3 linked regions of the Lytechinus pictus genome follow. The protein of the gene in region 1 interacts with the protein of each later gene in a biochemical or structural test. Links are inferred from orthologs where the notes say so. Each region holds a gene or a part of one and is shown in the gene's direction. Other genes may lie near its edges.

Region 1 (8,089 bases):
ACATTCTGGTCGGTATGCAAATGAGGAGACTGATGACGTCATCCACTCACTATTTCTTTTGTTATATGAAATATTCTAATTTTCTCATTGTCAAGTGGAACAACAATTAAATCCTTCCTGAACATGTGGAATTAGCATTGTTGAATATGCTATATATGGTTCAGTCAAGCTGGTCCTTATTGTCGAATATGTAAAAAAAAAATGAAATATTGTATTATTCAAACAATAAAAAACAAAATACATAGTGAGTGAGGGACATCATCGACAGTCTCATTTGCATGTCACTGAATTGTGCATATCACTATATTGTGAAAATAAGCGAAACTTTAAAATGTCATAACTTTCTTATTTTACATTCAATTTCGATTAAATTTTCTGTGTTCTGCTAGTTGGATTTTTCTCTATTTATTAAGATAAAACATTTTCTGGGGTGGACTTTACCTTTAAAGTTGAATTAAGAAGGGGGTGAGTTTCCATAAATATAGGTTCTACACACAATATATAGTATATATAAGTTGTTCAAACAGATAGCATGTCACAAAAATCCTCTGCCTTCTCGATATTTTGCTTTGAAAGTCTATGAAATTAGCCACCTGTCAGAGCCCGAGAGACGAGTGTACAGAAAAGCCACTCGGAGTGTGACGTCACCGGGTGAATTTAGTATAAGAGGTGCCTGAATGTCATACAGAAATGCTATGCAGAGAGAGAAAGATATTTTACAATTTTTTTTCAAAGCAACTCAAATCAAACAAATAGGACTGATATGTACAAATCTTTACTTTCCCTGTATAAAAAACAGTATGAATAACCATCATGAACTCTTCAATCATGATGTAAGATAGCAAACAGTGAGTTATTGAATGATATTTTCACTATTTCTCATTTATTTTATCACGATGTTCAATCAAGTGAATAGCTGGAAAGTAATTCCGGCGGCTAGCTCAGCTCTCGCTCAGCGCGCGCTGATTGCAGAATACTAGTACACACAACACCCAGGCATTGAGTGTACTCAGGGAAGCTGGTGTACTGTTATGGTCTGGTATGTCGACTTAGTTCATGGCCGTGCAGCGATCCCCTGGCGTTTTTTCTTCTTTTCTTTTGTCTTTGACTCCACTTTTATATCCTCTGGATCATTTCCACTCATAGCTCAGTTCCACAGAACAATCTTGAACCAAACGTATTATTCTTTCTCGGCCTTCTGAGTTGTTTTCTATATTTAATTACGCTAGGGGTCACCGTCACACATACAAACGCAATTCGCAAGTGAGTTGAAGACAGAGGGATATTATAGTAATTAGTATACGTACATATCTATGGTTGAAGAAAACAAGAAAGGTATGCGGTACGGTAGCTAGCTCGACAGCTAGCTGCGCCGGAGCGGGCGGCCGGTTAGTCCAGATTGGACCTTGTTGTTTGGAAGTGCTTTTTCCCAAAGCTAACATAGAGGGCACATGTCTCCCAATCTCTAATCAGCGCCAATCCACTCATCTTCCCTCCCCAACAAATTTGGAATAATAGTACGGCCACAAATATTTTAATCATTTCCTCTTTGCAAGTTCTATGGCTCGCAGATACAACTTCAACTGCAGTTATTCCATATGAAGGCGTACGTGCATAGTACACAAAGCGGCACTGCCTTGTTTACTACACCGGGACCGAATACCCCCCGGTGACGTCACAGTCAAAGAACACCCGTCTCGGTAGGCATTGCAGGAGCGAACTCAGGGAAAATGGGTAGGGATAAATCGTTCAAATTCACTATTTTGAAAAAAGAAAATGGGGGGTCGAATCACCTCTTAGTGTTTGGGGGGTTGTAAGGTTGCTATTAATGTAAATATCTCAATATTTGGAATCGTCTTCTTAATTCAACTTTAAGAACGACTGGTGAACATTTCATGATGAATATCATTTACCACAAGAAAGATTTTTATAACACAACAACATCTCTTTCATCAAGTGTATGCAGCGTAATGCTAATATTATTTACTAGATTTACCATTGAAATTTGCAAAAGGCCTTGTTTTGTCGCTACGCTCACTCGCATACAAGTAATGGGAATATCCATATTAAGGGGTATGGCACTGGCGTAAGTCTGTGACGTCATGCTATTCAAGTGGGGGGGGGGGGGGGGTGAACAATAGATCACCCCCTTCCCCTGAACAATTTAATTATAGGTTCACCTCACGGATTTACGCCAGTGGATATGGCATGCAGGTAACTCATCTACGGCTGTGCAATGGTAGGTGGGGGAAAAGGCTCGGTCGCAATGCTCCCTCGCACGAATACAAAATTGTACTCTGCATTACACATACAGGTTTAAAGTGCCAATTTATACAATGAGTGACCAATATCTAGCATATGCTTGGGCGCAAAACGCTTCCTCTCATCATGGACATATGAAGAGATGGACATTCATCGCTTAGATAATGAATTCACTAACAGGTGACTGTAAATGTCATCTGAATAACATTCTCTTCATACTATAGCAACCATTGTTTTCATTGTGCAATTTTTGCCACTTTCCTAAAGAACGAGATAGGATACGGTCATACTTAACTATCACAATAGTCTGTAATTACAGGTATGTCTTCTTCATTTATATCATTATTATTTTAATTGAATTAATTATTTATTATTCATTAATTTATTTATCTGTTCATTCATTAATGTGTCATTATGGAATATATTCAACTTGGTGATAATTCATTGATGTGCAAAACAAACTTGGATGTTGTATCTCCTTATATTTTTCAGACGCTTCTGATGAAGTCTCAATTAAAAGACGAAAGCTAAAGCAAATAATGGTGTCCTGCGTCATCTGTTGAGTTGGCCTCGCCTCATCTCATTATGTTTAATATTCACAACTCAACAGCGATTGGTAGAAGTAAACTTATCATCACACACACTATATATATATATATATGCCTATGTGTGAGTGTGTGGGTGAGTCTGTTTGTTTTGTGTGATCGAGCGCCTTTGGAACGTTGGTTCATGATTTTGCCCCCCCCCCCAATCTGAAAAATTGATCGACGCCCCTGTCCCCACTTGTTCTTTTGTATTTTATTATATGAAATTAGGTTTATTCAAAAATTTTCTACCACGAACTAGAACAATTGGATTGACAACTGATTAAAGTGTTTAGTTATGTACTGCCGCAACTTATTTCATCATAATGGAGACACATCATTTACACATGCACGAAAAAATGAAACATTTATGATATCATGTAATAACATAAGAAAAAGGAAAGTGGGGATGTGACATCATTAGCCCACCTAATGAATATTCATGACGATGTGCATATAACTGTTTTCACAAAATATTGATAAACTTTAAAATTCAATAACTTTGTTATTTGTTATCCCGCCGATTTTGATGAAATTTTCACCACTTCGCTTTGTGAATTTTACTCTATTTTTAAATATAAATATTTCAGCCCGGACCATCCCTTTAAGAGATGGCAAAATGGAACGGGAATTTATGGAGGGCCTAGGGGGGGGGGGCAAAAGAAACGGGATATTGGGTAGAATGGATTGAGTGAAAATGCTGACATAAAATCTGAATCGAAAAAAAAAAAAAAAAAATTAAGAACACGACCGGGTTGCCGAGGATGAAAAATAAAGAACGGGAAGAAAGAATCAGATGGCGTATTATGTGCAAAAAATAGCTTGATATTTTCATGCAATAACGGTCGCAATTAATCAGGACAAAAAATTACTGAACTTTGAGAGGTTCCGGAGGTACCGCCCGAGCATTGCCGATGTCCCTAGCCGAGGGATAGACACGCACTTCCAATTAAATAATTAGATTTTTATTTCATAAGGCCATAAATATCCTTACTCGCTTCGCTCGCTCAGGATATTTTTTAATTTTTCCCACATTATACCCAATAATGTACCCCCTCAAAAGGTTTGGTTTATAATGCCACTACGATGAAGTAATGTGGTTTGCAAAACAAATCCCTGATCCGATTGAAAGTGGCCATCTTTCACGATTAAAATGGCTGAATTTGGTAAGGTTTTTGGGGCTCCGTGCATCCGCCCGGCAAGCCCCACCCACATAGCACTGATGTACAAATTAATAAAAGGCTTTAGGGGCTTGTGGCCTAATTGTGGCCCCAAAAGATTCTACGACCAAGAACAAAAAAGAAAAGAAGGAATTAAGGACCGGAAAAGTGGAAGATGTAATGTTTTCATTGGTATATCATGTCAAAATACTTAATTAAGATTGCAACGAAAAGGAACTTTTAAGAAACTTGCCACATGCCCCTTGCTGTGCCCCCTCATTTGTCGCTTTACACTCTTGCATAGAGCTAGCTTCGCACCAACGACCACAACAAAATCCTGTTCACCAGTGGCATATACAGATGGGGGGGGGGGGGGGGGGGCGCCCCAAAAAAGTAATGACAGCAAAAGAAAAAGGGAAGCTCAGAAAGAAAAGGAAAGAATGAAGGTGAAATATGATATCATATATTCTGAATAACGTAATTACTGTCAAAATCTATCACAAATTGAAATTTGATTTTTGATAAACATAACATTTTACCCACTCGCTCTTCGCTCTCTCTCAATTAAAAAAAATATGCGATACATCTAGCCCCTTCAAATTTTTTGGCTCATTTACGCCTTTGATTATGACTGGGAAAATATTTGCTCTTCAAGACGATTTACTTTTCATTTTTTCCCCTTGCAGATTAGTGCTCTTTGGGGGCTCTTAATTTGTTGTGTTGTTTTTTCAACAAAGTAGATTGAAGATTGAGAAACTTGCTTGACTCACCATCCCGGTAAACCCACTTTTTATTGTGTTTGCGCCCCAGGGTTTGTGCCGTGCGTTTTAGGGGTTTTGGTTATAGCAGTTGACAGATTGATCAATCAATTTCGACAGTATACACCGGCCGTATAAGCTTCGATTTCGATATTTCAACAATACGCAACTAACTGCAAGTTTAAGTCCAACATCACTATTACACGTGCGCGTTACCGTATGTGAGACTAGTACTTCGACCTGGCTGAAACTTTACCGAAAAAACATAATATTCTGGATTCGGTATTGTATAATTTCTTTCATTTTCGATAGGTTTTCATTCTATGAGAAATATAGTTAGTAATTATTGATATGTATTGTTGTATTTTTTGCGTGTTTTTCAAGTTATTTCATGGGACTTGCAGCTTGGGAGTGATGCGGATGGTACGGTGTGATCCCAGCTATTTGTATCCGTGTTGTGTTATTTTTGCTTGGTGTGCAACTGCAAAGTGCAAGCTCAAGACTAACCCAGGGGGCTCCCGCCCGCGAAATTATTTTTCCCACCGAGTTCTGGACCGACATATGAATATTCATGACTTGCGTCTTCGGATTGAGAGTACGCATGCGCGTGGACTTGGCCTCGACCAGTGCCGATCGTAAGCATTCACGTTGCTCAGAATGAGTTGGCATCGTCAAATTACTCTTATAGGCTTAGATCTATATATATATATATATATATATATATATCCAATTCTTAAACACTTAATAAACTAGCTGCCATTAATGGCAAGACATATGTGCTAGGGTAGGGCTAGCTTAGGCTAGCGCATTAACTTTACCTCAAATCTGGACCTGTCTAATGCCTAATAGTAATACTAATAGGAATAGCCGACTAATGCCATGGTTAACTTCGAACTTGTTAATTCCGAACTTTACGTTTGATTAGGTTTGGATCAATATTAGCTTATTTGCCATGGTTTAATATGTCTAGTCCGTATACAGAACCAGTCCTAGATCTAAAATAAATATCTTAGTTCTAGTCTAGTCTCTAGATCTAGACTCTGATCTACGCGCTATCAGCATGGAACCACTAGTGTACCAAAGGGGGGGGGGGGCAGACTGCCCCCCTGACGAGTCACAACTGATCCAGGGGACATGCCCCCCCCCCATTGAGAAGCCAAATTAATAATTTGTAATGTCAAAATGCAACGAAAAAAGACGTATGTCCCCTCTTTTGAACGTGAAAATCTTTTTTTTTTCTTGTCAAATTTTTTTCAGCTACGAAATCCTTAATTTTGGGTGAAGACGGGGATCAAGATCACTGACGTTAATTTGTGCCTGACGTTAGAATACGTTCCATGCACGCACTGGTGTACCTAGGATTTTCCAAAAGGGGGGCAATTTTTTTAGAGGGTATTTCGTCCGCGAAAAAATGTGACAAGCCCCCCCCCAAAAAAAAAAAGGGTATTCACCCCAAATTATGGATTTCTTAGCTGAAAAAAAAATTGACAAGCAAAAAAAAAAAAAAAAAGATCTTCACGTTAAAAAAAGGGGACATACGTCTTTTTCATTGCATTTTTACATTACAATTTATTAATATGGCTTCTCAAAGGGGGCACGTCCCCTGAATCAGTTGTGACTCGTCAGAGGGACAGTCTTCCCCCCACCCTTGGTACACTACTGGTTCCATGCTGATACAGCGTAGATCAGAGTCTAGATATAGAGACTAGACTAGAACTATATAAGATATTTTTTTTTTAGATCTAGGACTGGTTTTGTATACGGACTAGACATATTAAACCATGGCAAATAAGCTAATATTTGTCTAAACCTAATTAAACGTGAAGTTCGGAATTAACCAGTTCGAAGTTAACCATGGCATTAGTCGGCTATTCCTATTAGTATTAGGCATTAGACAGGTCCAGATTTGAGGTAAAGTTAATGCGCTAGCCTAAGCTAGCCCTACCCTAGCACATGTCTTGCCATTAATGGCAGCTAGTTTATTAAGTGTTTAAGAATTGGATATATATATATATATATATATAGATCTAAGCCTATAAGAGTAATTTGACGATGCTAATTCATTCTGAGCAACGTGAATGCTTACGATCGGCACTGGTCGAGGCCAAGTCCACGCGCATGCGTACTCTCAATCCGAAGACGCAAGTCATGAATATTCATATGTCGGTCCAGAACTCGGTGGGAAAAATAATTTCGCCTCCCGCCCGCTGCGCGGGCGGGAGCCCAGGAGCTTACCGTGTATTTGACCTTAGTCACCGGACTAGGGTGATTTATGGTCTAAATATTTCTCCAAATGAATTGTGAAAACAGAAAGTATACAATAACCACGATTATATGGATGAAGGTCTAACGAGTGGCAGTTTCCTGACATCTGGGCACAAACTGGAACCTCAAAAAACCGAAAAGTTCTCTCCTTCTAGTTCTACCCCCGTCTCGATCAGCCATTTTTGTTAAAAATCGTAACAAAATGGCCGATCGAGACTGGGGTAGAGGAGAGAACTTTTTTTTTTTTTTGAGGTTCCAGATCCAGTCTGTGCCCAGATGTCAGGAAACTGCCACTCGTTAGACCTTCATCCATATAATCGTGGTAATTGTATACTTTCTGTTTTCACAATTCATTTGGAGAAATATTTAGACCATAATTAAATCACCCTAGTCCGGTGACTATGGTCAAATACACGGTAAGCTCCTGGGCTCCCGCCCGCTGCGCGGGCGGGAGCTTCCTGGGTTAGCTCAAGACAAGTTCACCACTCACTGACACAATAGAGTAAAGTACCCAAATATTGGACACTTAAGCATAATTTGACCAAAACAAAAATACAGTCATTGAATCAAATAAAAATCATATGTATTTCTGTGGTAAAAATGTTGAATATTAATTTCATATTATAGATCATAGAACATTTTCCTAGTGTTACTGTTAGCAGTCTCTAGGCACCATGCCTATCAATTCCTGTGTTAAAAAAGTGAGTGCACGCGAATCAAAAGTTGGACTTAAATTACTAGATATTACCATGGAGCTCCATGACGAAATCTATTTTTAAATTAGACCCTCGATACTACTTATGGAAAATAATGTATAAATAAATAAAATAGTACTCGCCTGGTCTATTCTTGGGGTACTGAAGCCTTTTTGTCCAGAACTTGCTCAACTTTTGCGACTAACCTTGTCGCCATAGGGTTGTGTACATCCTCGTGTAATACTAGTTGTCACGTGACACAGCAATGTCGTTAGGCTGTTTGGCCTGTATTCAAGGCGTTCTTTTCGTTATGATTTTATATTGAAGCAAATTACATCAGGTATAGGCCCCTATCAAGTCAAAAT
Region 2 (8,067 bases), on another chromosome or scaffold:
ACAAAAGAAAAAGTGAGTGATGGACATCATCGACTGACTCATGTTTGCATGTCACTGAGTTGTGCATATCACTGTTCTGTGAAAAATAAGCGCAACTTTAAAATGTCATAACTTTCTTATTTTACATCCGATTTTGAGAAAATTTTCAGTGTTACGCTAGTTTGATTTTTCTCTATTTATTGAAATCAACATTTTTCTGGGGTGGACTTGACCTTTAAGTATACAGTTTGTAAAAATGAGCCAAAAAAAATCAGTGAGGGGGCCAGAAATGGCCTATCAGGCAAAATTTATGTAAAGTTGTGAGCGAGCAAAGCGAGCAAGCAAAAATGTCGCCTTATTACAAAAATCTAATTTTGTGATAGATTATGACGTAATACTCAGAAAATAATCACATTTCACCCTTCTTTCTTTAATTTCTTTCCTTTTTTTCTTGGTGTTGAATTATTTTATAATACTTTATTTTATTATTATTATTTTTTTGGTGGGGGGGGGGGCAAACTCCCCAAGGCCCCCCATCTGTCCGCCACTGTTAATAGAACACTCGATGAAGCAACAACGACCCTTATCCAGATTAAAGAGAAAATACAAGAAAAGATAGGCTAGAAGAAAGGGAATTTGCTGAACACCTTAGAAAATGTGACAAATGAGACAGAGTATAGTTAAGATATAAAGAGCTATCAGGCATATCAAAGCATGATAGAGTATGCATATTATAATAGAGGGAGGTAGGGGGAGCAGCCCTGATAAGGTCAAAGGAAGGGAATGGGGTAAGGGTTGACTTGACTTAAATAATGCAGCGTTCAGAATATTATCAATAATTAGTGGGATCAGGACAACTACCCACTGGACAATTACCCCCCGGACAACTACCCCCTGACAATTACCCCCTGAGGACAATTACCCCCAGGACAATTACCCCCGGACAATCATCCCCGGACAATTACCCCCGAGGACAATTTCCACCGAGCACAATGAACCCCCCCCCCCCTTCCCCGAGGACAATAACCCCCTATAGACAAAATGAGTGTACAGAGTCATACGTCGGCCGTACGTTTGACGTAAGAAGTACTCAAGGCATTCTCGAGTATCTTGGAATCAAACGAACGCCGTAAGAAAGCTGTAAAAGTAAGCTCCATCTGCAAATCTTTACGAAACCCAGAATTCGATCATAATTTGTATGTCACCGTAGCATAAGATCATTCGTTTTGGCAATCTTCGCAGTGGCGTAGTATTGACAGAACAAAAAAGGGGGGAAGAAAGAAAAAAGAAGGGGAAAGATAGAAGATAAAAGAAGAAGAAAATGAGAGGAGGAACAGGAGTGAATAATAAGGTGAAGGGAAGACTTTTAATATGTCACTAAGATTTTCGCTCACGCTTCCCGCTCGCATTGCCTTTTCGATGAGATTCATATCTTGCTCAATATAGACTGATATGCTTAAAATATCAAGTTTTGAAGTCAATATACAAAACGTATTTCATCTCAGATATCGAGCTTTCATTATTTTTTTATTTACAAATTGATTTTTTTCAAGTGTGAATGTCAATTGCAGCTCTTTGTGCTGTGCACTCGCATTATTTGATTTGCGAAGTATGCCTACATAATTATTATCTTTATTCATCCAATAAATTCTTTATATATTAATTCTATAATCCCCCTTTTATGACAGTTTATCAAAAATTTCGTCTCGCGATTTGCGCTCTCATTAATAGTTAAAAACATATCAACTCATAAATCCTATTCATGATTGCAAAATTGCTTAAAATATTTAGTTTTCATGCCTCAAATGTCAACAAATTTCACTCACTCATTACGCTTTATTGCATTAATATATATGATATTAACATTTTATGAAGCTAAGAAATGACTGTTAGGACATCGGCGTTTTGCCCCCCCCCCCCCCCCCCAATTTTTCACTACCAAGAAAATGGGGAGAAAGGGAAAGGGATAAGTTTAAAATTTAGGCCTATCATTTTTTTAATGTTATGTCAAAATCTATCGCAAACTTTGATTTTTGTAATTAAAATGTCAAAATTTTGGCTCGCTCGCTTTGCTCGCAACTTCTCATTAATTTTTACGCGATATGCCGTATCAAACCCCCTCAATTTTTTCGCTCATACGCTACTTAGACAACCCCTTCGAAGAAATAAACAAAATCAACTTTGAGCCGCCTTTGAGTGGCCGATCGGGGAAAATATGGGTGAAAACAAATTTCGCCCCCCCCCCCTTTTGGCGGGAGCTGGATCCGCCCTTGCCAATTGTTTCATAATTCTTAGCTTCTTGTTAGTTGAATTGTTTTAAAATAACAGGTATATGGGTCCTATATTTGACAGTGTTAGTGTTGATAGTTGCGTTATCGACTTTCAATATTTTTACCTGAAGGTGTCTTTTTTACGTTATATCTATTTGCCTTATTTCTTTCCTGAAATTAAACCTAAAATAAATGTTTAAAAAATCAGATCAGTTGGAATCAGAGATATTCAGCATTTGTGATTATTATGACTAATCGTGTTCAATGTTCTATGAAAACTTAGTATGGGGGCCAGTTTACAAATTTTCTGATGTATATATGCATAGCCAAACGGGAGGTTTCGGGTGCAAGCCCCCCCCCCCCCCATTTGTCATGATGCAGAAGGCGCCGCTAAACAAAAAAAAGGAAGAAAAAAAGGAAAAAGCAAGGAAAAAAGAAGAAAGTGAGAGAACAGGAGAAAGAGCAATATATTTTTATAAAAGAGAAAGAAAGGGTTATTAACGTAAGATAAAATAGAAAATATTTCGAAAACCTGTGCCACCGACCAAAACTTACATTGGGTCCCGCTTAATTCTAACATTGATGCCGGAGAGAAGGGGGATGGAGATGGAGCTTACTTTTACAGCTTTCTTACGGCGTTCGTTTGATTCCAAGATACTCGAGAATGCCTTGAGTACTTCTTACGTCAAACGTACGGCCGACGTATGACTCTGTGCACTCACTTTGTCTATAGGGGGTTATTGTCCTCGGGGAGGGGGGGGGGGGGTGTTCATTGTTCTCGGTGGAAATTGTCCTCGGGGGTAATTGTCCAGGGGGTAATTGTCCGGGGGGTAATTGTCCTCAGGGGTAATTGTCCGGGGGTAATTGTCCGGGGGGGTAATTGTCCGGGGGTAATTGTCCTAGAACCTCAATTAGTTGATGAGATACGGTATGCAACTCTTTATGTATTTTATTTAACAAAATTTGTGTTATTATGTATCATAAGAATCTTTAGGCAAGCATATACATGTACCAGGGGCGGATCCAGGATTTCCCAAAAGGGGGCCCCTTTTTCAGAGAAAATTTTGATAAGCAAAAAGGGGGGTTCACTTCTGTATGAACGGCATATAAAATATTATGCTTGACCTTTCAAGGGGGCATACGTGTGTAAGAACGGTATATGAACATTAAAAATTTTGATTATTGGCTCTCAAAAGGGGGCCGGGGTGCACGGACCGGATGTGCCCATTCCCCCTTGGATCCGCCACTGACATACCTTTTGTATTTGATGTAATGAATCGAACTAAGTGTTAGATTTTTATTGATCTATCAACAAAGACTTCTACAAAGCAAAAACAAAAATATGCTGAGCAACGGAACCTATTTTTGTGGAGGGGGCATAGCGAAATAGCTAGCCCATTCAATCCCGTCTTTGGGAAGTGATGTTATCGATACGGTCGGGGCCAGTAGTGTACCTAGGATTTTCCAGAGGGGGGGCAAATTCGTCCGCCAAAAATTTGACAAGCAAAAAAAAAGGTCTTCAAGCGCATGTAAAGGACATTTTGTACCAGAAAAAATTGACAAGCAAAAAAAAAAAAAAGGGATACGTCCCTTGCAATGGGTTGTGACTCGTCAGGGGGGGGGGGGCAATCTGCCCCCCCCCCCCATAGGTACGCTAGAGGTCGGGGCCATAAACAGAAAATTCAGTTCCTTGAGGGACTGATCCGCTTAACAACGACAATCATTCATCCCCTTCTCATCTCTGACATAGTGTGTTTTAGACAAATATCAAATGTTCGTTTGGATTCGACACAGTATTTTTGGGGGCCTTTGTTGAAAAGTAATCCGTCGATGACGAAGAAGTTCTGTCCACATTATATAAACAAGCAAATTTTCCATGACCAAGAAATAGAAGAGGCAAGGTAATAAACGAAAGGTGAAATCTGAAATTATATATATTTTAATATTATGCCACTGATCTTTCACAGAATTAGATTTTCATTTTCAAAACTTAGCTCGCTCGCTTCACTCGCTGGACACTTTTTGTAAATTTTGCTCCAGATGCATTCTGCCCCTCATATTTTTCCTCATTACACCACACCCTTGTTATGTTCAGTGATAAGATGAACAAAGGTTTGCTATGAATCGCAAATATGACAGAACCGCACTGATTGGTCCCTGGGGGTCCCTGGGGGTCCCTGGGGGGGGGGGGGCGTTTCATGAAAGGACTTGTCGGACGTTTTATCCGACAAGTCCCATTTTATTCGACAGTTACCATAGTAACAGTACCTCTCAACCAATCAACATCAGAGAAAGATGTCAGATCTGACAACTTGTCGGATGAAAATGTTGATGAAACACTCCCCTGGTCAGTAGGCTATTTTAAACATAGGCTAATGCGCGTGTAAGTGTTTAGAGGTCAAGCTTAGGTGGTGGTGCCGGTGATGATGTTGATGACGATGATGATGATGATGATGATGATGATAAAGATGATGATGATGATGATGATGATGAAGATGATGATGATGATGACGACGACGCCGGTGACGACGATGATGACGATCGATGAAGATGATGATGGTGATTCTGATGATATATTACGAATGATGACGAAAACGATTGACGATGGTATATGGGGGTAATAGAAACTGGAGGAGATTTGAATATTTTAGTTATTTTCAATCTTCCAGCTACACTTCGAGGCTACACTGTTGAAGTCAATTCTCAGAGTCTAGAATTTAGACTAGAAACAAAACAAAAGGGAACGTTTCTGTTGTACTGTATGACCACCTAATGTAAAAATGAGCATTCCTCGGCAGACTGGTGCTTCAACACTATTTTTAGATAGTGATTCAATAATAACAATTCACAACCATGTTACTTTGCGTCAACTTAGTGTGAAAGTACTAGACCAGTCTTGTGTACATTACAAAGTTCGTGAGTGAGCTAAGCCGAAGCCGAAGGGGAACAAGTGGCCGACTAACGTTACACTACTTTCAAGGAAAAAAAATCTGTCGATTTGTTTTGTATGTAATTCAACACACTATTCAGAAGAATATTTCTTAGCTCTTCTATTGTGTTTTGAAAGGAACGATATCATGATTTTCTTGTTTCTCCCTGCCTTCCACCACGATTGACGCTCGCTTCGCAACCGGGGCCTTGCGGTCCGAGTAGCCAAGACACGCATGCACGGAGAAGTGCGTGGAATACCAGTTGCATGAATCATAACACCACCAACAACGAGAGTTAGATGATTGGATGGGCGTGCTCTGGCGAAGGAGCTGGTCCGCTGACATAGATGCAGCAGAATCGCGGATGTGCTATTTGTAGCTGAGTGCTACAACGGAGGTTCATCATCATGTCGCTAATGCGACGATCACAGAAAACTTTTACTGTTAGAGTCCAGACTCTGGATGCCGAATTAGAATTCAGCATTGATGTGAGTTTCACTTTCTGACGTTATCAGACTGAAAAATATTATTGTTTATGTTAATTTAAATAATGGGTAGCCCATTCAACAACATCAACAGTTGATCTCCCGTGGGGCCCTAGTACAATGCAATAACACTTTAACAGATATTTAGACCTATTCGAAATAACATAACATATAGAAACAATGCAATAAAAGCTGAATTGCGAAGACATCAATAATAAACATTGCAAAATTAGAGCGATTATTTCAATGACAATGGTATTGAAACATTCAAACAAATAAATTTAACAAAGTAGCAAGTGCCAACGTGAACCTTAATTGTCAATTGATGTGAGATGTTTTTTAAGATTATATTTAAAGAATTTAAAGATGATAGTTCCCGTATGATGACCGGCAAGTTATTCCACAGTTTCGGACAGGCGTAAAATAAGGAAAGTTTGCAATAATCAGACCGACACCTTGGTACAACAAGATCGTTTCTGACAGACTGCCTTGTAATTTTCTATGGGTTTTTTTTAGATCCTGAAAATAATTTGAGTAGTATTCTGGTGCGAGTCCATGAACACATTTCCAAACAAATATATATAGAAAATAAATGATTCTGTAGGCCTACTGGAAGGCCGTCCAATCTAGATGTGAAAACATTTCTTTTTATATGGGGTGTACAATGTATATGACATCTCAGGATCAAACGGGCTGCTATTTTTAGGAGTTTGGTCATTCGATCCACATGAATCTGAAAACAATTTCCCCATATCTCACAAAAATAAATTATATGTGATTATGAAGGGGGCACGAAGATTTAATTGAGATTAAACATGAATTTCTCTTGACTAAGACCTTAGTCTTTGATAAAGTTTATTCCACAAAAAAATTCAATTGATATATAATGTTAAATGTTCCTTACCTTAATAGATCTATACATTCTTATAAGTACATGTAAGTGTGCCAAAAGTCTCCTAAAAATTGAGAGAAGTAGACTAGATTCTATATGATTTTCTTGTAAAAACCTTGGCCAGTCATTTGCAAATTGATAAAAAACGGTTCCCCATGACTGCGCAACCATTCAATTTACTTATGATTAGCCAGGAGGCTCCTAGAGATTAATTCATTTGCTACATAGGTTTCTGTTTGTTGTAACTCCCGTACTCCGTAGGAACTTGGCAGTAATCTCCACGGAGCCAGGAATGGCATGCCATTTCAGTACACGCACCATCATTTTTCCCCCACGATTAAAGCTCCTCAAAATTACAACTTTTCTTCAGGGTTTTGAGCCCAAACTTATGTAAATTGGCTACAATATCCTGTTAACCCTTTCCGCCCAAATTTTTTTAGTTTTAAAACAAAATTACATGTTGAATTTCCAAAACATTATAAGAAGATGAGCATATTTACTCATAGATGTCATTGTCGCCATCTTGTCTTCTTTTTTATTGTAGCCTAGCTACCAGACATGTCTTGAGGGCGGCAACATCATGAGCGGTGCTTGATAAAAAATGCGTGCATTTGCCGAAATGCGTGCATTTGCCGATCAATATCATGAATTTCACCTCGATGCTAAATCCCGCTTCACCTGGTCGTCTAGCGCATGGGATATTTGGTACTAGGATTGGCCCTTTTATTTTTACGTCCAGTCAGATAAATGTTAGAATCACCCTCCCCCCCCCAAAAAAAAAAAAAAAGTGTTTTACTCACTAAGGTAGAACTTGTCAAATCTTCCAATTTAGATAAGGAAATTCTCATTATTCTTAGAGTTTTTTTTCATGTTTGTCAGTAAAGTGTGTGTGTGAGATTTTACAGACATGTATCCAGGGCCCTGGAAACGATTTTTTATTGGGGGTGCTGATGTAAATTTGACCCCCCAAAAAGGGTTTCACTACAAAATGAAGGTAATTTTCGTTACATTGTTTAACACCTACCAGAATTCCAGGGCGTGCTGCCTATAGTCTATAGAGAATAATACATGCAGCACCCCTGCTTCCCAGGGCCATGCGTGTATCAAAGATTGTGTGTGGAGCCGACCTATAATGCCACCATTCTTAAGACCTGACCAGGACTCAAAACTCTTCATCTGCATATATATCTATAACACACAGTTATAATTGTGTCTGTTGTAGTCATTGCAGAGATCATTCTTATTGATATTAAGTTAGAAGTCTGAACTGAGCCTGACTTGAGGGCAAAAATAGGTAGTAATTTGAAAAACAATTGATGTTCTTTGGCATTAAATTGTCATAAATGTAACAAAATTTCAGCAACGCTGATGTGAAATCAATTTTTCTTTTCTAGGTGAAAACCACTGGACGCCAATTATTTGACTTGGTGTGTCGTACTATAGGATTAAGAGAGACTTGGTATTTTGGACTGCAATATGAGGATTCTAAACGCTATATCGCGTGGCTCAAA
Region 3 (7,479 bases), on another chromosome or scaffold:
TGATGTTTATGTTAACGTCTGTCCGTTAAGATAATGACTCACATGTTTACTCGTGCTCTACCCCCCCCCCCCCCCCCCCCATGAAGGGTGTGTGTGTGTATAGCGACAACCACAATTCTAGTTCAGTGCCCCGTTACATAAAGCTTAACGATTGATCGTAAAGCTGATTTCTACGATCGATTGCATTGATAAGTGTGAGTGATCAATTGTAGTAATCAGCCTTACGATCAATCACTACGCTTTGTGTTAACGGGTCCGGGATTGTGATGACGGTCAAGGCGTTGGTCAAGGATGTATTTGTTGCAGTTATGACAGTGAGGGAACAGCTGTTAGTCAAACCAATCTATTGCGTTTCCTTGATGCGCATTCCATGCTAATCTGCTAATCGTCTTGCCAAAAGGGGCGGATCTAGGATTTATTTGAAGGGGGAGCTCACACTGACGAAAAGTTTATTGTATAGATTGCCAAAAAAAAATCATTATAAATACTGGTGAAGCATAGCAGGGGCGGATCCAGGATTTTTCGAAAGGGGGGGCACATTTACCCGAGGAATAATTTGACGAGCAAAAAAAAAGGTCTTCACTTTCAAGGGGGGGGGGGCACACTTCCGTTTTAATGGCATTTTTACATTACAAATTTTAATTGAGCCTCTCATCAAAAGGGAGGCGGGGGCTGGCTGTGCCCCCCCCCCCCCCTGAATCCGCCAGTGGCGTGAAGGTTTGAGGAAAATCCATAAAAGATTAAGAAAGTTTTTTGGAATTTTAATTTTTTTATCTGTGATGTACGATACAAGCAGCTGCCCAATAATTATGTTTGGTAATATCAAAATGCATAGATTTTAAAGGACAAGTCCACCCCAACGAAAATTTGATTGGAATAAAAAGAGAAAAAATCCAACAAGCATAACACTGAAAATTTCATCAAAATCGGATGTAAAATAAGAAAATTATGACATTTTAAAGTTTCGCTTAATTTCACAAAGTTCTGGGCACATCCTGGTGGGTGTTTCATAAAGCTGTTCGTAAAGTTACGCATGACTTTACGCACGACTGGAACATGTTCTTAGGTCATAAACAATTACATAGGGATATCACACAGCACAAGAAAGGATCACCAGTCGTGCGTAAAGTCATTCGTATCTTACGAACAGCTTTATGAAACACCCACCAGGTGGGTATGCAAATGAGGGGACTGATGACATCACTCACTCACTATTTCTTTTGTATTTCATTTTATGAAATCATGATTTATTCCCATTCAGTCTCCTCATTGTCCTTGAAACGAAGTTTAATTCCTCCCTGAACACGTGGAAATGCCATCCCATTAACATTTTATGGTTCAGTCAAGTTGGTCCTTATTGTCAAATCTGTAAAAATTGAAATATTCTACATTTCAAACAATAAAAAACAAAAGAAATAGTGAGTGAGGGACATCATCGACTCTCTCATTTGCATGTCATTGAGTTGTGCATGTTCTGTGAAAAATAAGCGAAACTTTAAAATGTCAAAACTTCTTTATTTTACATCCGATTTTGATGACATTTTCAGCATTATGCTAGTTAGATCTTTCTCTATTGTTTAAATCAACATTTTTCTGAGGTGGACTTGACCTTTAATGGTTCATGATGACTAAAATCTTTTATATTTCAGGGCGGGTGTGAAATAATTTGTCTGTTGATATAGTACAGGTACAATTAAACTCATTTGATTATTTTCAGAAAATTACCTTTCATTGTTCATGTGACGTAACAAATCAAAAAAATTAAATTCTAATATTTGTACATGATTTTTCTTAAACCTCCATCAATATTTTTGTATCATTTTGTCTGCTATTTTTACAATAAACTTTTTGTGAGGGTGAACTTCCCCTTTGTAGGAATAGGGGTCAAACTTTCGATCTTTGTAAATGATGGTACATAAGTGATGAGCATATCAAAGAGGGGGGGGGGCTAAGGGTCTAAATCTCGATGTTGTGCAGGGTTTTCCTCTCTTCGTCGTCTTTGTTTAGTTTTATTTGCCGTATAAAAATCACAACAAAATACATCGTACAAATTAATTTTAAGATTAAATATATAAAAAAAACACCTTAAAAATATAAGGATGGATTACAGTTTCTCTATTAAGAGCCATTAACATAATGGCTCTGTTATTCCTAGAGGTCGTTGTTGAAGTACATAATTTTCCGTAAGGGGAGGGGTTTGGGGCCATATATGGACCCCCCCCCAAAAAAAAAAAAGAGAGAGAGAAAATTAAGTTAAAAACTAATAAAAACAAGGAAAAAGGACGAAAAGGAAATGCGCGAAATTTGATCATTTTCTGAGTATTTTGCCAAAATATATCACAAAATTTGCGTTTTGTATTAAAATGTCAAAATGCTCGCTTGCTTGGCTCGCTCGGAACTTTGATAATTTTGCCCATGCACCATGTTTGTCTTGATTCCCTCAAAATTGTTGGCTCATTGCGTGCACTGTGAGTGGACACGTCCAGCTAGGGACCATCGGGTGTGATCCCCAGTAATATTATGCAAATAACGAAAATAATTGATAAAGTTTCGCCGAAGTTCTGGGGTGTCAAGTGAGAGAGAGAGAAAGTTTACAATTGACAATCTCAACAAAACCATGTAGTAATTATTTTCGAAACCAACAACCCACAACATAATCAAGGGCCTATGTGACCTACATAATGGAAGAAACTGAAGCTGCATAACTGATCAGAATAATATGCCTGCCCTATCAACAGCATGATTTCGCAATGTCAGCTTTTCAGACACGCCAGCAAATTCGTTCGTATCGGAAAAGGACCAAAAGCCTGACTATATTCTGACAAAACAAAAATAAACGGGCGCAAAACAATCCAAAGATGAGATCACTCATCGAATAAAAAATAAAGCACCGTTATTCTCCGGAAAATTTGTCCAATGTCATTTCCATCCAGGGACCCGTTTCATAAAGACTTGTTATAACAACAAACACGCGCAGTTTACTATCAGCCAATCAGATTGAAGGATTTCAGTAGCTTTAAACATGTTATTGCAAATTTGGTTTTGTGAAAAGGGCCACTGGTTTGTTGAGGGATCCTGTCATCAGTAAAGGAATTTCCTGGGAGGATGGTCGATGGTAGTTGTCAAGGTTACCTCACTCAATTTCAAACTTTCTAGGGTAGCATTCTGATAAATTAAACCAAGGATTAACCCTAGTCTATTTTTTGTTTAACCACACTCTTCTATGGAATGCATGCAGGCTTCGAACAATTCTTCCATATTCGTATAGCAGTATAATGTATAAATTAATGCATTAAAATTCATATTTTCGTATTTTCTTATTTCTTTCAATTTCACTCAATTTTTAACAACTTTTAACAGAAGATTGGGAATAACTTTTATGAGTTTGACAGGTGGCACTCCATAAATGTGTGGTCTGAGTTAACCAAATCTCTATGGAGTTAACCCAGGTTTAATTAAACCATGGCTATCAGATTACCACCCCTATAATAGGCCTACGGTGAACATGAATAACAAAATTGACAATTCTGTGAACAATATTTACGTTGAAATCCTGAATTTTATTTATTATAAATTATTTACCAAAACAATTCCTACATGTTATGTAAATTTCTTTATGTTAACTATCAATTTATTTGTATAATAGAATGTATATACTTATAAATGTATAATTTGTATTATGTTTTTTGTTCTTCTTGGAAATATAAGATCGAATTTGAATTTGAATAGGAAAAGCAATCGGGGGTGGCGAGAAGGGGGGGGTGACAAAACATTGGGGTGAACGTTAAATCAAGTTCGATGTAGACTTTTTTGGCTTGGTGTTGGGCTGTAACACAGTACAAGCGAGAAGATCGAGCGAGCGAGAAGAATTTGTGGTGGGCCTGGGGTTATTCATCTGCAGGGTTAGAAATGTAATGTAATCTTGGCTGCATGCGATTGTTTTCCAACAGCTCTTCTAATATATATATACTGTATATTATATCTCAAAATTATTCCGTTCAAAAGTTATAGCATTTTTATTTAGGGGGGGGGACTTACTTTTTTTGTTGTAGTTTGTGGTAAAAATATAAATACAACGAATCAATTAATTGGTTTATTAATTGAACAATCAATTAATACAAAAACAAACGTAAAAATAAAGATCATGAAGGTAGCTGATTTAACTTATAGAATACAAAATAAATAATGAAATAAATCTAGATTAATCAGTCAATAAGTGAATGAATAATTAAATGAATGAATAAATAAATAAATAATATGAATACGTAACTTTTCGGGTGTTGTCATAGGATCATTCATTGTGTATGAATTGTTATGTACTAGTATGTAATCATATTTCTACTTTTGTCTTGACAGCGGCCGTCTGAGCCGTCCGATTAAAAAAATCTACCGGTACAGCAAAGGACTGGGCGCATACGTCAAATCACTCAAATGTATATGTGCATGTGGACGTGGCCGGCCTTGGCGCGCAAAATTGAATAATAAAAACAAGAGGAGTTGCACGTGTGCGGGAAAAGAGGTGAAACGTGAATTGAGTCGCAAAAATGATTGGACAGTCAAAGATATCGGCTTTCTTCAGCCCAAAACAGGTCAAAAGACCACTTTCAAGTGTAGAAAACACACAGGTATTGTAAATTGATTTATACCGTATTTCATTTGCATTCTCAGGCAGGAAAATGAGCTACTGCTGCTTCCGATTTGCTGAGGGCTACAAGTACCTTACCTCGAGCGAAGTTCGTGCAGGCTCCACTCCACTTCACTACCGCTACACTACGCTTCACCTACCCGGGTAGGTGAAGCGTAGTGTAGCGGTAGTGAAGTGGAGTGGAGCCTGCACGAACTTCGCTCGAGGTACATGTACCTCGGCTCGAGCTCAGCAGTGCCAGTGCCTGGTTGATTAACCCAGGGCAGGGAGCTCCGGCCCGCTTCGCGTGCCGGATCCCAGGAGTCGACCGTGCAAAACGAGGGAGACACTGAGCCGGTAGATTGGGGTCTCAATAATAATCTTAATAAAATGTTGAAACAGAAATTATGCACTTACCACGTCCACAATGGATGAAGGTCTATCGTGACACACAAATCCTGACATCATGGACATCGAGGGCGAGGCACAGTGCCACAGACAATGACAGACTGGAACCTCAAAAGACAAAAAACCAAAACTGTCGCGATACCTCTCCTTTCAAAATTAAAAACAAAAAGGCCGATCGAGACCTAATCCTAGGCTATATATTTTTTTTTAGGTTCCAACTTCCAGTCTGTGCCTCGATGTCAGGATTTGTGTCTTGTGCAGTCAGACCGCAGGTCCCTATGGCTATGCTAATGAGCAAAAAGGCCAGATTCATCCAAATCATCTCGTGGCTGAATCCTCCTCCTTGCAAAATCGAGATTTTCTTTCTCTAAGATTAAGAATTTACCTGTTTTAACCTCAAGTTAAATGAAATATTATTGCACCATCAGATAGAGCTAGTAAATGTTACTCTTTCATATCGGTTATTTATTTTGTATACAATATTTCGTTAAATAAGTAAATTTCTGGCCTGAAAATGTGCCTCAAAACTGAATTTTCTTCCTCTGTTTTCTTTTGCAAATTGTGCAAAACTTTTTATTTTGAGCCTCAATGATATCTATATCACCATAAAGCTGAACTTCAGTACTTTCTCACAATGCCACTCTTGATATCCGGCACCTTTTAATCGGGTCAAGATCACACTTTTCCCACCAAGGTACAAGACGAGATTTCTGAAATTTTGTACTTGCATGAAATCCAGAGTTCTGATTGGCTGGATAAGGTTCACAGAACAACAGGCGCGGGGTATTTGAGGAGATTACCACATGGGAAGTGTGACCTTCCCATGAACACAGGCACTGGAACCGTTGGAATTTGCCACTGTGTGGTCTCTGACCAATCAGAGTGCAGTATTCTTGTTTTCAAGCTGCTTTATGTACTTGGCAAATGAAAAGTGTGATCTTGACCCGATTAAACCAATTCTTATTTTGAAATCTATATCATTTTAAAGCATACATATTCAGCTTTATCATGATCTGAAAATCATTTGGGCTCAAACAAAAATAAAGTGTGAAAATAGCAGCTTTTGTCAGGTGAAAATAATTATTTTGTAGCATATTTTAGATCAATATTTTAACCTATATTACAAAATCTTTGAATAAATTCAAACACATGACCTGAAAGAATGATTCTTCTTCTTTACAATAACACCAAATTCATGAAATTCGATGCACAATTAAAGCAGCAATGACCGAATGAAAAGAGGTGTTTTGGTCCGCATCAGGCTCATTAAATATGCAAAACATCTCAAGTCATGAATATCACTTGGATGAAAGAAGCCACTTTCTTGGGACCTGCCGTCTGACTGTGTGTGTCAGTACTGTCACGATACTTGATATACGGTAATCGTGGTAAGTGCATAATTTCTGTTTCCACATTTTATGAAGATTATATTGAGACCCCAGTCCCGTGTCTCCCTCGTTTTGCACAGTCAACTCCTGGGATCCGGCTTGCTTCGCGTTACGAACCCATGAATTCTAATTCAGTATTCAATTCAACTCTTCCAAATCCATCGAGGCCCGAAAAATACTAATTCCTTCAATACCACATTCCAAACACAGCTGGCCTGAACTAGAAAAACCGGCAACTAAAACTAACCATTATCATGATTATGGAATGTAATCAGTGCAAGATGGCAAACGAACTTTTTACCAAAGGCAAAACAACCAAATCTCTATTTTCCACCCCGCTGTATAAACATTGCAGCAATACTTCCATATATGTCCCCTCCAGTAAAATTGAAAAAAATATGAAGAAGGTTTATATCAAGTCATATATCTCAGAGTTTTAGGAGGGAAAAGTTGGATACATACCAAAATGTGGCTTGTATTCGTCAAATAATCGAGTGTGCAATAAATAGTGTGAGTGATACTATACAGACCTCGCACAAGAATGTCCTGTGCCTGTGGCATGGGACTTTTGAATACAAATTTATACATGTTTAGTAATTATAGTAGTAGTGTAGAAGGATTAATGATTACTATACAACAAAAAGGGATTTCCATATGATATATTTCCAAAAAAATTACCTGTCACACATTCATTTTTGCACACCTTGATTTAGACAGGAATAACCGTCGTTTCTGGGGATTTGTTTAACATTTTCTAACATTTTGCTATTGGTGAGTGGAGCCAACGCAGTTCAGCAGAACAACCAAATACAGAGACTGAAGCTTTTGGTCTAACCTTGATTATGCTATTGGCCTTTATCATAAAATAAGATTTGCAAAGCTTCTAGCACAAATTTGCTGTCATCCAATCAAAGACCATGAAATCGGGAGCTTTCATCAAACAGTTATTGTAATTTTGAATCGTAACAGCCTTTGTGATCTTGATGTCTTTCAATTCAGAGCCCATCACCCAAAAAAGCCAAAGATGCGAATAATGGCAAGCCTTCTGGACTGAGTCCT

What was found.
Region 2: the proteins of DDB1- and CUL4-associated factor 1-like (region 1) and merlin-like form a complex in vitro, tested with the Homo sapiens proteins (3 studies listed by BioGRID, with this or other methods). The link is inferred for Lytechinus pictus from reciprocal best matches to the Homo sapiens genes DCAF1 and NF2.
Region 3: of the proteins of DDB1- and CUL4-associated factor 1-like (region 1) and uracil-DNA glycosylase-like, one has a biochemical effect on the other in vitro, tested with the Homo sapiens proteins (2 studies listed by BioGRID, with this or other methods). The link is inferred for Lytechinus pictus from reciprocal best matches to the Homo sapiens genes DCAF1 and UNG.

The regions. Positions count from the first base shown.
Region 1 is NC_087247.1:55,106,226-55,114,314, forward strand, and holds the start of DDB1- and CUL4-associated factor 1-like, read left to right. Parts: upstream 1-4,984; 5' UTR 4,985-5,046; intron 5,047-8,089. UniProt on the Homo sapiens protein: Acts both as a substrate recognition component of E3 ubiquitin-protein ligase complexes and as an atypical serine/threonine-protein kinase, playing key roles in various processes such as cell cycle, telomerase regulation and histone modification.
Region 2 is NC_087246.1:17,163,049-17,171,115, reverse strand, and holds the start of merlin-like, read left to right. Parts: upstream 1-5,035; 5' UTR 5,036-5,586; coding exon 5,587-5,667; intron 5,668-7,950; coding exon 7,951-8,067. UniProt on the Homo sapiens protein: Probable regulator of the Hippo/SWH (Sav/Wts/Hpo) signaling pathway, a signaling pathway that plays a pivotal role in tumor suppression by restricting proliferation and promoting apoptosis.
Region 3 is NC_087256.1:25,355,401-25,362,879, reverse strand, and holds the start of uracil-DNA glycosylase-like, read left to right. Parts: upstream 1-4,399; 5' UTR 4,400-4,544; coding exon 4,545-4,625; intron 4,626-4,767; exon of another isoform or gene 4,768-4,924; intron 4,925-6,336; exon of another isoform or gene 6,337-6,420; intron 6,421-7,307; exon of another isoform or gene 7,308-7,419; coding exon 7,420-7,479. UniProt on the Homo sapiens protein: Uracil-DNA glycosylase that hydrolyzes the N-glycosidic bond between uracil and deoxyribose in single- and double-stranded DNA (ssDNA and dsDNA) to release a free uracil residue and form an abasic (apurinic/apyrimidinic; AP) site.